3 linked regions of the Sus scrofa genome follow. The protein of the gene in region 1 interacts with the protein of each later gene in a biochemical or structural test. Links are inferred from orthologs where the notes say so. Each region holds a gene or a part of one and is shown in the gene's direction. Other genes may lie near its edges.

Region 1 (4,153 bases):
ATCAGAGGAAAATTGCACATCGTACTGCTGGCTCTTGAGCAGTTATGCCTCAGCTTCCTCTGAGTCTGCTTTCTCTGCAAGTCTGGTGTGCTCTAGGGTACCACCAACCCTGGGCGGCTCCAAGACTACAGATCACTTGGCGATGTCGCTGAGCCCCGCTCTCCCGGGAATCGTTCTTTCCACCAATATGTGCACCCGCCACGTTCCAAGCACTGTTCTAGGTACTGAGAATACAGCAGTGAATGAAGTCGAGGGTCCGGGAGAGAAGTCAACAAACAAGTTAGCAAACACGTGTCAAGGTGTAATAAGCACAATGGAGACTAGAGAAAGCAGTGGGTCTAAGGAAACTGCCTTTCCCTCCTCTGCACCCCACATTGCTTTGTACCTGCTTCTCATTTCTCAAGCTTTGGGCACAGGTCTCTCTGGAGGTCCCGCACCGGCCCCGTGCCTTGCACGCCACAGCTGCGCAGAAAACGTCTGTCGAACGAGCCAATTCCCTTCTTAGCTCCCGGTTCAACAAACCCTTCCTGGGCCCAGGCCCAGGGGCTTAAGTAGGCCGGAAAGTCAGCGAAGCCCCGATCACACAGACGAGAGCGCTCTACAGTGTTTTAAAATAAAAGCTGTTTTAGTGAAGTAATCGCGGCCCATGGGCGGAAACCAGGCCTCCGCTCTCACATGGGCGGCGGGACCGCGAGAGGCTCCGAGGCACAGGGCCAGGTCGGACGCGGTAGCCCTCGGCAGGCCTGGCCGCCAGAGCCCGGCTTGGTCCACGCTCCCGCCGCGAACGGCTGCGGCATTACAGACGCTCCGGGCCGCTCTCCTAGACCCAGACCTACTCCAGCGCCGCTACCACCCTTACGGCAAGAACCAGGCACCTACCAACCGCGCTGCCGTAGCAACGCAACCAGCCAGACACTGCACCGGAACCGGAACCTCCATCTGGCAGTGACCCCCCTTCCCCGACATCCTCGGAACGGCGAAACCCCGCCCAGTGCGTCCCACTCACCCGGAGTATCCCAGCAGGCCCGCCCGCCCTTGGTGGCGAAGTCGTCTTCCCGCTGGTTTCGCCTCTGCTAGTCTCAAGCGTGACCTTGATGGACATGCACTCTCTCCAATCAACTGATAGAGAGGTTGCCAACCGCCAATGGTAAGGCGTCAAGCTAAGGACCTCCTCCAAGCTATCGGGGCGGGACAAGTAATATGATTGGTAGAATCCAGTAATTGCCGGCCAGCGTTGTCCAATCACGTAGAGCTATTCGGAGCCGGTCCAATGAGGGTCTCCGGGGGACGGGGCGGGCCGCCGCTGGCCAGGCCCCAGCGAGGCTCCTGCTGTCTAACTCAGGTCCCGAGCTGTCCAGGGCTCCGGCGAGCGTACGGGGATGAGCGCGTCCCTGGGCCGGGCGGCGGCGGCTCTGCTCCGCTGGGGGCGCGGCGTAGGCGGTGGTCTGTGGGTCCCGGGCGTGCGGGCGGCGAGCTCGGGCGGGAGCGGCTCAGCGGAGCATCTGGACACGCTGGTGAAGAAGGACAAGGTGGTGGTCTTCCTCAAGGGGACGCCAGAGCAGCCCCAGTGTGGCTTCAGCAACGCCGTGGTGCAGATCCTGCGGCTGCACGGCGTCCGCGACTACGCGGCCTACAACGTGCTGGACGACCCCCAGCTCCGGCAAGGTCAGGGCCGGCGGGGGCGGGGCTGGGGGGCGACAGGCCGAGGCCTCTCTGCGGGGGGGAGGGTCTCTCCGCCAAGGTCTCTGCGGAGGTTCAAACGGGGTTAGGGCGCGGGCTTCCACTCCGCGTTGGAGGGTCTGGAGTGGGGGCGTGATCACCTTGAACCGGGTCTTGAGGATCTGGGGCCCTGGGCCAACCTGGGCAGTGGGGTAAGTCCTTACTTAGCTGTTCCCCCGAACCTCACTCTGAGCAGAAATAGGCATTCGGGGGCATTCTCTGGGGCTGAGTCCAAGTATCGTGGTCAGCAGCCTCACTCCTCGCTCTGCAGAGCTGGGAAGGTGGGACAAAGAGGGATACAGGGGGAACCACTAAGGAGACACTTTGAAGCCGTGACCTGTCTCGTGGATAAGTGTCCTGTTGATGGTGGAGGGAGGGCCGAGGTTGAGGCCAAGGGGGTCGGAGGCTGGTCTGCTGTGCCTCGAGGCTCGCGGTGTCAGGGACCGGCCACTGTTGTTGCTGCAAGGAGGGGCTTGACACAGCTTTTGGACTGGTCTTAGCCGGGTTCTGGCGTTGTGGGAGAAAAAGATAGGAAATTCGTTTTTAGGTACTCGAGATGGGGGAAAGCTGGGGGCTAGGGCTTGGAGAGGCTTGTAGGGATGGGATGGAGGGATGACTTTTGGGCCCCGGCTAACTCAGGTTTGGGAGCTCCAGGAGCCCAGGGCCAGGCAGATGGAGGAGGGTCTGGGCCTTTTCCCTGGGCCCTGGGGCAAGGTGGAGGGCCTTGGCAGCTAATTAGCGTCTTTCCTGTTGAACTCCAAGCTAAGATCCTTCCCTGCAGTCTTCTGTTTATCTGAGTGAAGGCAGAGAAAGAGGAAGAGACCGGAACCCCTGGGTCTGCCCTTGGCTAGGGTTGATGGTGTTGCTGGAGAAATGGGGAGACGATGCTTGTACCCTCCGAAGGGTGGCCTTTACGTTAGACTTTCAGTGTCTGAGTTCCAGCATCGCCCTCGTATCAGGCTTTTGACAGTGTTCTGGAGGGAGTTTGAGGGCACCAGGTTCTCTGGTGTTCTACAAGGAGAATTCTGCTTTTGAAGTTGTCAATCGTAGACACTCCGACATCAAGGAGCCAGGCCGGTGTCACGGAGAGGCTTTGGGCTAGAGTCCTTCTGCGGCCAGTCAGCCACAGAGCAAGTCACACACGTGCATTTTCCTTCTCAGTAGCAGGAGGATGATGAAACCACACTTGACAACGTTTTTGCGAGGGAAAAAGAGAAAGAAAAACTTTTTCGAAAGTGCCTGTCATCTTTCCTGGCACACAGAAGACACCCATTAAATGGTCTCTGTTTTATTATTAGCACTTTATGTTTTGAAAAGTTCCTCCCCACCCAGGTTATCTGATCCTTAGAGAGCTCTTGGTTTTGGTGGATGGAAAAGAGGAGCGGAGAAGGCAGCTTAGCGTTCCCAGGTATATGTCATTACAGTGTATTGTGCTTATGATCCTCTGTCTTCTTGAAATGCTCCCAGTTGCGGGGTTTTTTTTCAAAGACAGGGTGAGCTGCAGTCTTCAGCTGGCACTGGCGTTCCTGCTTGAAAGATTAGATAGGAGAAACTGCTCTGCAATCTCCCTGCCGGGACCATGCCTGAGGCCCCTTGCAAAAAGTTGTGTTGTTGATATTTTGCTGACAGTAAAGTCTTGAGTGTCTTTGGTGTGTGAATTGCCATTCTGATTCACAGACCCAGAGATGGTCTGACTTTATCATACACCTGAAACATTGTCAGTCAACTACCCTTCACTTTAGAAAGGTTAAAAAATACACCCAGTATGAGGTTGCGGGTTCGGTCCCTGGCCTTGCTCAGTGGGTTACCCATCCGGCGTTGCCGTGAGCTGTGGTGTAGGTTGCAGACGCGGCTCGGATCCCGCGTTGCTGTGGCTCTGGCGTAGGCCGGTGGCTACAGCTCCGATTCGACCCCTAGCCTGGGAACCTCCATATGCCGAGGCAGCGGCCGAAGAAATAGCAAAAAAAAAAGACAAAAAAAAAAAAAAAATACAGCCAGAGATGGGCTATGCTGGAATATGGGCAGTAAACTGAAAATAGGGGCAGGAATGGAGGAGTGTTTACTGAGAGCACTTGGGCGTCTGGCTTCTGGTCTTCTGTTCTTAAGCATTCAAGCAACAGACTTTAATCCTCAAATTTCTTGACCGCTGAGTTGCTCAGATTGTTCCTTTGCTTAGTACACGTGTTGCACATAAACTGAACCTAACACTAGTCTTCGTTGCTTAGAAAGTGTACATTGGTGTACGTATTAACCTCCAGACTGGGGCGGGGTGGTGTAAGCGTGTGACCGCAGAAGGGGCTGGTTTCACCAGGGTGAGGCTTTCAACCATTAGGATGCCTCACCTTGCCCTCTGGGCCGTGGAGACCAGCAGGCTGTCTGATGCTTGCTCTTGCCAACTAAAGATATGTCCTTGTGCCTTTCCCAACCCAAGGTC
Region 2 (4,255 bases), on another chromosome or scaffold:
TTACTGAGACCCAAGATCTAACCCTTGTGGCCAGGCTTAGATCACAAATGACAGGCTGAAAATGGCTTATGTCAAAAATCCATGCCTGGTTCTCTGTTTCCGGGACCTTCTACCTATCTGCTTACACAACCCATCCAAGTGCAGCAGTGAACATACTGATTGCATAGGCAAAATGCAAGAGTAAAAAGAGCTGGTTCATCCTTCACGGTATACCAGACCACATGCTATATGCACATACTGCTAGAGAGAGAAAGGGCTTGGTTGAATTTCTGCTTCGAACTGTCTGAAGTATTCCAGACATGGGGCAGATTTGCTGACAATCCGTCCCTGATAGTGTCAGCTTCCCCTGCATTCTCAAAATGCCAAGGTCTGTGACTCCAAGCCTCCACCTCTGCTGAGCCGTGTCCTGCAGGCACCTTAAACTGAGGCAAATTCAAAACCAAGTTAGTCAATCCCCATCATCCCACGCCTAGCCCTCCTCCATCTATCCAAGTCAGAAACCTGAGCCTCATCCCTGCCACCTTCAGCCCTGCTACTTTCAGCCGGTCACTCCAGTCCATTCCTCCCAGGTGTCTCAATCTACTCCTCCCATCCCTGCTACCAGGTCTCCCCTTGGGTCTCCCCTCTCCTTCGGAACAGAAGCTGGGACTTCTGTCCTCCTCTCCAATTTCAGCCCCCTACTGTCTCCGCTCCTCAGTGATCTTTCTAAAGCACAAATCTGACAATGACTCCCCTCTTTAGAATCCTTCCCTGGTTCCTTCCTGGAGGGAGAAACCCAAGACCCTCTGTTTTGTTTTGTGTTTTTGTTTGTCTTTCTGTCTTTTCTAGGGTCGCTCCTGTGGAATATGGAGGTTCCCAGGCTAGGGGTCTAATCTGCCAGCCTACACCTGAGCCACAGCAATGCGGGATCCCAGCCGCATCTGCGACCTACACCACAGCTCACGGCAACGCCGGATCCTTAACCCACTGAGCAAGGCCAGGGATCAAACCCGCAACCTCATGGTTCCTAGTTGGATTCGTTAACCGCTGAGCCACGACGGGAACCCCCAAGACCCTCCGTTTAACAGCAGGGTGTGGGGTGGTGAGTGGGCACAGCGGCGGTCCACTTAGGGCACCAGGGTCCTTGGGACGAGGGGAAGTCCGAAGGCTGCATGGAGCCCCGGGTACTGGCTCTGTCCCCAGCCTGGGCAGCGGAGGCTGCTCGCGAGAGAAGGCGGAGGGCGGGGCCCCGGGCGTGCGGGGCGGCTCCCGGCCTCCAGACGGCAGGGGGCGGCCTCGCCCACGGCGGAGGTGGCTCGGGTTCCGGGTTCCGCGCCTTTTGGGAGACTCGGCGACCTCGGGCGGCGGGCCGCGTCGGCCGGGCATGGCTGCTTGGAGCCCGGCCGCGGCAGCGCCTCTGCTCCGCGGGAGCCGCGGGGTGAGCGCGGGCGGGGGCCGGGCTGCTCTCGCCGGGGCGGGAGACCGCGGGGCGGGCTGCGGCCAGAGCTGGAGCACCCGCTCGCGGAGGGCGGCGCGCCGAGCCGGGGGCCTCCGCGTTCTTTCTCTCATCCGTTGGTTCGTTCATCCAGCGGGCCCGGCTACGCGTAGTCGAAGTGTCAGGCCCGGCGCGGGCTGGGGGAGCTCCCGCGAACAGGGCGGGGGTGGAGGGCGAGGGGAACGGATGCGCAAACATTCTGAATACGGCGGCCACGGACCAAGCAGTGTTGATTTACCAGAGACGTGGGAGGCATAGCCGGGAGTCGCGGCGTGCATGCCAGGGACTGTGGCTGGGTCTGGGCTCCAGAACGTCCGCCCGGCTTCTGTGACCTTGACCCTCCCCAAATCCCACACTCCCCTAGTAGCAAGCCCGCAGAGGGCACTCCCCACGCGCTCTCCGAATTTTCTCTCCCCCTTTCTGATTCATCCACTTCTTTGGCTTTCTTCTCACATTCTTTCTTCTTTTGAACCTGCCTCCCCCAGGCATGACGAGCAATTCTCCTGGTGACTTCCAGCCTGGACAGTCCGCATTCCGGAGATTTTTGTCAGTAGATTGCTAGGTTTTTAAAAGCCACTGCCTGCAGATAGCTGAGATGAGGGAAGGTTTCTCCCAAGGAGTCAGCAGTGCCAACCACCCTGACCCCTTAGTGATTGCTTCTTCCGAGCCACCTGGTTACCCTCTGCCTTTGTCCCCCAGGGCACTGGCTTCAGGAGAGGTCCTAACCCCCCCACCCCATCTTACCCAGGCCCACAACATCAAGTGTCTGTCACATACAGCACTCAGTCTCCCTCCCAAGTCAGATCTTTCTCCTGACCTGCATTTCTGCTAAGTGTTAGAATCGAGATTTCTTTGCTGGTGATCCATAGGTATGCCCTGAATCACGTGGTTCTTCCCCTGTTCATTGATTCATTCATTCATCCATCACCCACATCTTCCGGAGGGCCTGCCCTGGGCAGTTCTGGAAGACTGCAGAACAGGACAGACTCAGTCTTGGCCTCTGAGACCAGTTGGTGAAAGAGTTAGTGCACAGGGCATTTAAAGGAGGTGATCTGAGATTCTTTAACTAACATAGGACCCTGCTCTGGGCCATCAGGAAAGGCCTAAGGATGAGCAGGACTAAGGGGATAAAGGGATGGTACCTTCAGCACCAGCCCTTGATGAACAGCGCTCTAAGGACCATCCTTCTCCAGTGGGGCTGCCTGATATTACTCCTTTGTAGTGATACTCTCGTATGGGCATCTTTCCTGACTTATCTTCAAATGCACTGTTACTTTGACACCAAGAATCTGTCTAACAGAACCCAAAGTCTTTAGCTTGACATTCAAGGCCTGCCATGCTCTGTTTTCATTCTCCCTTTTCAGCATGTGCTCAACCCAGTCAAGGGGCTGCTGACCTGGTCGTCTGCTAAGGGTTGAGACACATTCCCATCAGGAGCCCTGGCTCCTTGGGGTAGCCATAGGGGGAGGGGGAGTGCTGCTGCCCATGGTAAATCTAATAAGGTTCCTCCTTCAGGTCCTTTAACAGAATTCTGTTTCTTCTCTCCAGTGAGAATTGCAAAGAGGGTCATTCCCATTGTGGCGCAGCAGAAACGAATCCGACTAGGACCCATGAGGATGAGGACTTGGGCTTGATCCCTAGCCTTGCTCAGCGGGTTAAGGATCCGGCGTTGCTGTGGCTGTGGTGTAGGCCGGCAGTTGTAGCTCCGATGGGACCCCTAGTCTGGGAACTTCCATATACCTCCGGTGCAGCCCTAAAAAGCAAACAAACAAACAAAAAGAATTGCAAAGGGTAGCTGGCTTATCAAGCAATAGGTAAAGGGGTACATCCCACTGGAGAGAATGTGGAATGTTAATCAGGCCTAAGGGTGGGTGGCATTTGGCCTCATCAGTACGTGGTAATGACTGAGCCGGGTGGCCTGGCCTTTCCTGGTTCTGCATCTACTGATGGATCCAGCCTTAGACATTACCTAGTGCATCAGGCTCCTCACTCATAAAACTGTCCTCACAAGTTCCTCTTGTGGCTCAGCGGAAACGAATCTGACTAGGAGCTATGAGGATGTGGGTTCGATCCCTGGTCTCGCTCCTCGGGTTAAGGAGCCAGCATTGTGGTGAGCTGTGGTGTAGGTTGCAGACTCGGCTTAGATCTGGCATTGCTGTGGCTGTGGTATAGGACGGCAGCTAGAGCTCTGATTCAACCCCTAGCCTGGGAACTTCCACATGTTCTGGGTACAACTCTCAAAAGCAAAAAAAAAAAAAAAAAAAAAAAGTCATCATGATAGTGTCTCTCTCATAACATTATCACTAGTTAAACACCTATGGAATGAAGTTTGGGGCCTTGTCTCTACCATCAAAGTGAGTTATTTACAATTCCATTCCCTCCTCAAAATAAAGTTTGTTCTGCCTCCTGGGGAGCATAACGGAACACAGTGCAGTTGCCCTGCCTTAGCCTGGGGCCCTGCCTTGTGGGGGGAGGGCAGCCCCCCCCCACCACCACAGTGACTCTCCTCTGTTCTGTGGCAGCTCCCTCTTCTCCACTCTGCCCAGCGGATGTTTGCCTCGCAGACTGAGGGGGAGCGCAAAGTGACCCAAATTCTCAAAGAAAAATTTCCTCGAGCTACAGCTATCAAAGTCACTGACATTTCAGGTAAGATTTCTCCCTCATCTCTCCCACAGTTTGGTAGGATTTTTACCTGCTGAAGGGGCAGAGAGCAGGAGGCTTGGTGGGAACTCATCATCTCTGGCTTTTCCACACATAAGGCTTTTGTTTTTTTTTGGGGGG
Region 3 (3,197 bases), on another chromosome or scaffold:
TGCCAAGGGTGTAGCAAAAAACAAAAACAAAACAAAACAAAAAAACCCTTAAATATAAATGTATATATGTACAAGCATATAATAATATACACATGTAAAAAATGGTGAAAGGTAGATGATATTTCTTTATACTATTCAACTTTTCTGCAGGTTTGAAATTTTTCAAAATTAGAAGTTGGAGGAATTCCCTAGCGGCACAGTGGGTTAAGGATCCAGCATTGTCGCTACTGTGGCTCTGGTAGCTGCTGTGGGGCAGGTTCCATCTCTAGTCTGGGAATTTCTGATGCAGTCAAAAAAAAAAAAGTATGGAGAAATCTAAAATATAGACTGAATTGACAAATTACATGTCATCTGGGAAAAATCTTATCCTGTTAGTATCCCTGTTTTTATTGTATTTATTTATTTATTGTTTGTCTTTTGTCTTTTTAGGGCTGCACCTGCGGCATATGGAGGTTCCCAGTCTAGGGATCTAATCGGAGCTGTAGCCGCCGGCCTACACCACAGCCACAGCAACGCCAGATCTTTAACCCACTGAGTGAGGCTAAGGATCGAACCCGAAACCTCATGGTTCCTAGTCGGTTAGTTTCCGCTGCGCCACGTCGGGAGCTTCCCTGTTTAAAGCCTTCCCTGGCTTCCACAGCTCCTAGGATAAAGGCAAAACTACCTCAGGAAGCCTACAAGGCTCAGCATGATTTCCTGCCTCTTCCCCCCACAGGCCTACACACTCCCTCAGCTTCCCATCATCATCATCTTGGCCCCGTGGGGTCCAACCATACCTAACTACACCGAAAGGAACACCTCCACCCCCACCCTCACCCCCATCCCACCAAAGTTCTTTCTCCTCTAGGCCTTTGCGCATGCAGCTACCCCCCTATGAAGAATTGAGAATGGGGTTTTGTGTCTCTTCTAAACTCTTCCTCTAAGTTTCCTCTGCTCCCCCAAGCCTCGACAATATGCCGCTCTAGCATCCTGTTCTTGGCCTTATTACAGCCCTTGGCACATGGCATTACAACTGTCCGCTAACTTGTCCATCTTCTCCAGTGTTCCATCAACTGCCCGAGGACAGACAGGGCCTGTCTTACCTCTCCACCCTCCGGGACTGGTCCGATGCAAAATAATTATGTATTCAATAAATGAAATAGATTTCCACAATATATGGAAAATAAAGATGTTGGGCTAGCTGATCTACAAGACCTATTGGAAATAAAATGAATTGAAAAATCTCAATCCCAATTGCTCAGGAATTTCCGTTTTCTTTGCAATTCCTCGGGTTCACAACCTCTGACGACCTCACAAATCGGGCGAAGTAGAGACTACAGTTCCCAGAAGCCCTCGGGGCATCGAATAGCACCTGCCGGGTATCGCGTAGCGGAGACTGCATTTCCCAGCGTGCCTCAGGACGCGAGATTTGCTTTTGGCTCTGACCCTCAGCCGTTCCTTCCGGGAGTCGGAACTGCGGTATTCAAGCCTGAGTGCAAGGTAGAAGGGGCCCAGCCTGGGGTTCAGAGGGGACACAGAGACACTGCTCAACCAAAAGCCCAGAGTTGCACATACCCTACTCTTGCAACCTCCATCTTATTCTTTGCGAATCACCTTAGTAAAGAACATGCCTCACTTCTGGCCCTGTGTACTCTACAGTCGCCCATTCGCTGCCCAAGGCGGGAGGCCAGATTTCCCCCACGTCACACTGAGGAAAGGGGCGGTGGCTCCCGTTTCACTGTCCCGCGGGGCGGCGGGCTCCCAGCTGGAGCCGAGGCCGGGGCTGGGATAGTTGAGAGACTGATCTCTCACCAAGCGAGAGGCCCTGACCCCTCACTGCTCCTGTCCTTGTCTCTGCTTTAGCCGATGCTGAGTGGGCAGCTGGTCGGACGCCTGTTCTCCATGGCCGGGCGCGTCTGTCTGTCCCGGAGCAGCACGGGAGCAGGGACCATCGGTCCCGTCGAGGCCGCCATTCGCATGAAGCTGGAACAGGCCCTGAACCCCGAGGTGCTGGAGCTGCGTAATGAGAGCGGTGGCCACGCAGTCCCACCAGGCAGTGAGACGCATTTCCGCGTGGCTGTGGTGAGCTCTCGCTTCGAGGGATTGAGCCCCCTACAACGGCATCGGCTGGTCCACACGGCGCTGTCCGAAGAACTGGCTGGGCCGGTCCATGCCCTGGCCATACAGGCGCGCACCCCTGCCCAGTGGAGAGAGAACCCTCAACTGGACACGAGCCCCCCTTGCCTGGGCGGGAGCAAGAAAACTCGAGGAACTCCCTGAGTCTTGAGAGAGGGAGGACGAGGAGCCAAATGGGTTGGGTGAGAATAAACTACTGGGGCCTTCTTCCCTTCAATATCTGTAAGAGATGAGGACCCTGGGCCCCATTCAACTGGCATATACTTATTCTCTGGAGACAGCAATTCATTTCACATCAAGGCTAACCCAAGGAAAGAGTAGAATCTCTCTCTACAGCTCTTGGCCTGGACCATTCAGGAAAATGTTTTGTGTTAAATTGTGACTAAGGAACCACCAGACCTTATGAGTTGCAGATAATTCTGTACATTAAAAGAGAAATTATCGTATGAAGTGAATTGCTGTGTTATTAATGGCCTTTTGAGTCAGTGCTACAGATGTTCTCGGGAGGAGAAAGATACTTGAGGCCTAGGATAGTCAGGAAGGGATTCATTAAACCAGAAAGGAGAGGACAGTTGTTGCAGGTAGGGGGAAGAGCCCAAGCAAAAGCATAGAAGCTGGACTGGACAGAGAGTGACAAGACAGCAGCTATAGATGCATTTGAACTTCAGACTTGGGGAATGTTTGGCTTTCTAACAACCTATTCTTTTCCAAAAGGATTACATTTCTTTGTGGAAAAAATTTTTTTTTTTTAACTATCACTAAAGCAGTGAAAAGATGATAACCTAGGAAATGAGTATAGAAGATGGAAAAAACTTTATGTGGCCTTTTTTCATATGAGCCTTCCAAATGTCTTATTTCTGAAGAGAACTCAAGTAGTGTCTAGATATGCAACTTTGTAATGATCTCATGTGGAGATGGAAAGTACTAGAGAAAAAGCTTGATTAAGGTGTATGGACTGTTTCTGGCTGGAATTTAGGATGCATCTGGTTGAACAGTAGGAAGTCATTGCAGAGTTTTAGGGAAAGGCATGCTAAACAGCATTTGGGAGCAGATTGATCTGACAGTGATATATAAGTGAGTTG

Evidence for each region.
Region 2: the proteins of GLRX5 (region 1) and BOLA3 form a complex in vitro, tested with the Homo sapiens proteins (4 studies listed by BioGRID and IntAct, with this or other methods). The link is inferred for Sus scrofa from reciprocal best matches to the Homo sapiens genes GLRX5 and BOLA3.
Region 3: the proteins of GLRX5 (region 1) and BOLA1 form a complex in vitro, tested with the Homo sapiens proteins (2 studies listed by BioGRID). The link is inferred for Sus scrofa from reciprocal best matches to the Homo sapiens genes GLRX5 and BOLA1.

Annotation. Positions count from the first base shown.
Region 1 is NC_010449.5:116,786,101-116,790,253, forward strand, and holds the start of GLRX5 (glutaredoxin-related protein 5, mitochondrial), read left to right. Parts: upstream 1-1,245; 5' UTR 1,246-1,379; coding exon 1,380-1,665; intron 1,666-4,153.
Region 2 is NC_010445.4:68,882,220-68,886,474, forward strand, and holds the start of BOLA3 (bolA-like protein 3), read left to right. Parts: upstream 1-1,363; coding exon 1,364-1,417; intron 1,418-3,996; coding exon 3,997-4,120; intron 4,121-4,255. UniProt on the Homo sapiens protein: Acts as a mitochondrial iron-sulfur (Fe-S) cluster assembly factor that facilitates (Fe-S) cluster insertion into a subset of mitochondrial proteins. Probably acts together with NFU1.
Region 3 is NC_010446.5:99,155,430-99,158,626, reverse strand, and holds BOLA1 (bolA-like protein 1), read left to right. Parts: upstream 1-1,389; 5' UTR 1,390-1,479; intron 1,480-1,842; 5' UTR 1,843-1,845; coding exon 1,846-2,259; 3' UTR 2,260-2,568; downstream 2,569-3,197. UniProt on the Homo sapiens protein: Acts as a mitochondrial iron-sulfur (Fe-S) cluster assembly factor that facilitates (Fe-S) cluster insertion into a subset of mitochondrial proteins. Probably acts together with the monothiol glutaredoxin GLRX5. May protect cells against oxidative stress.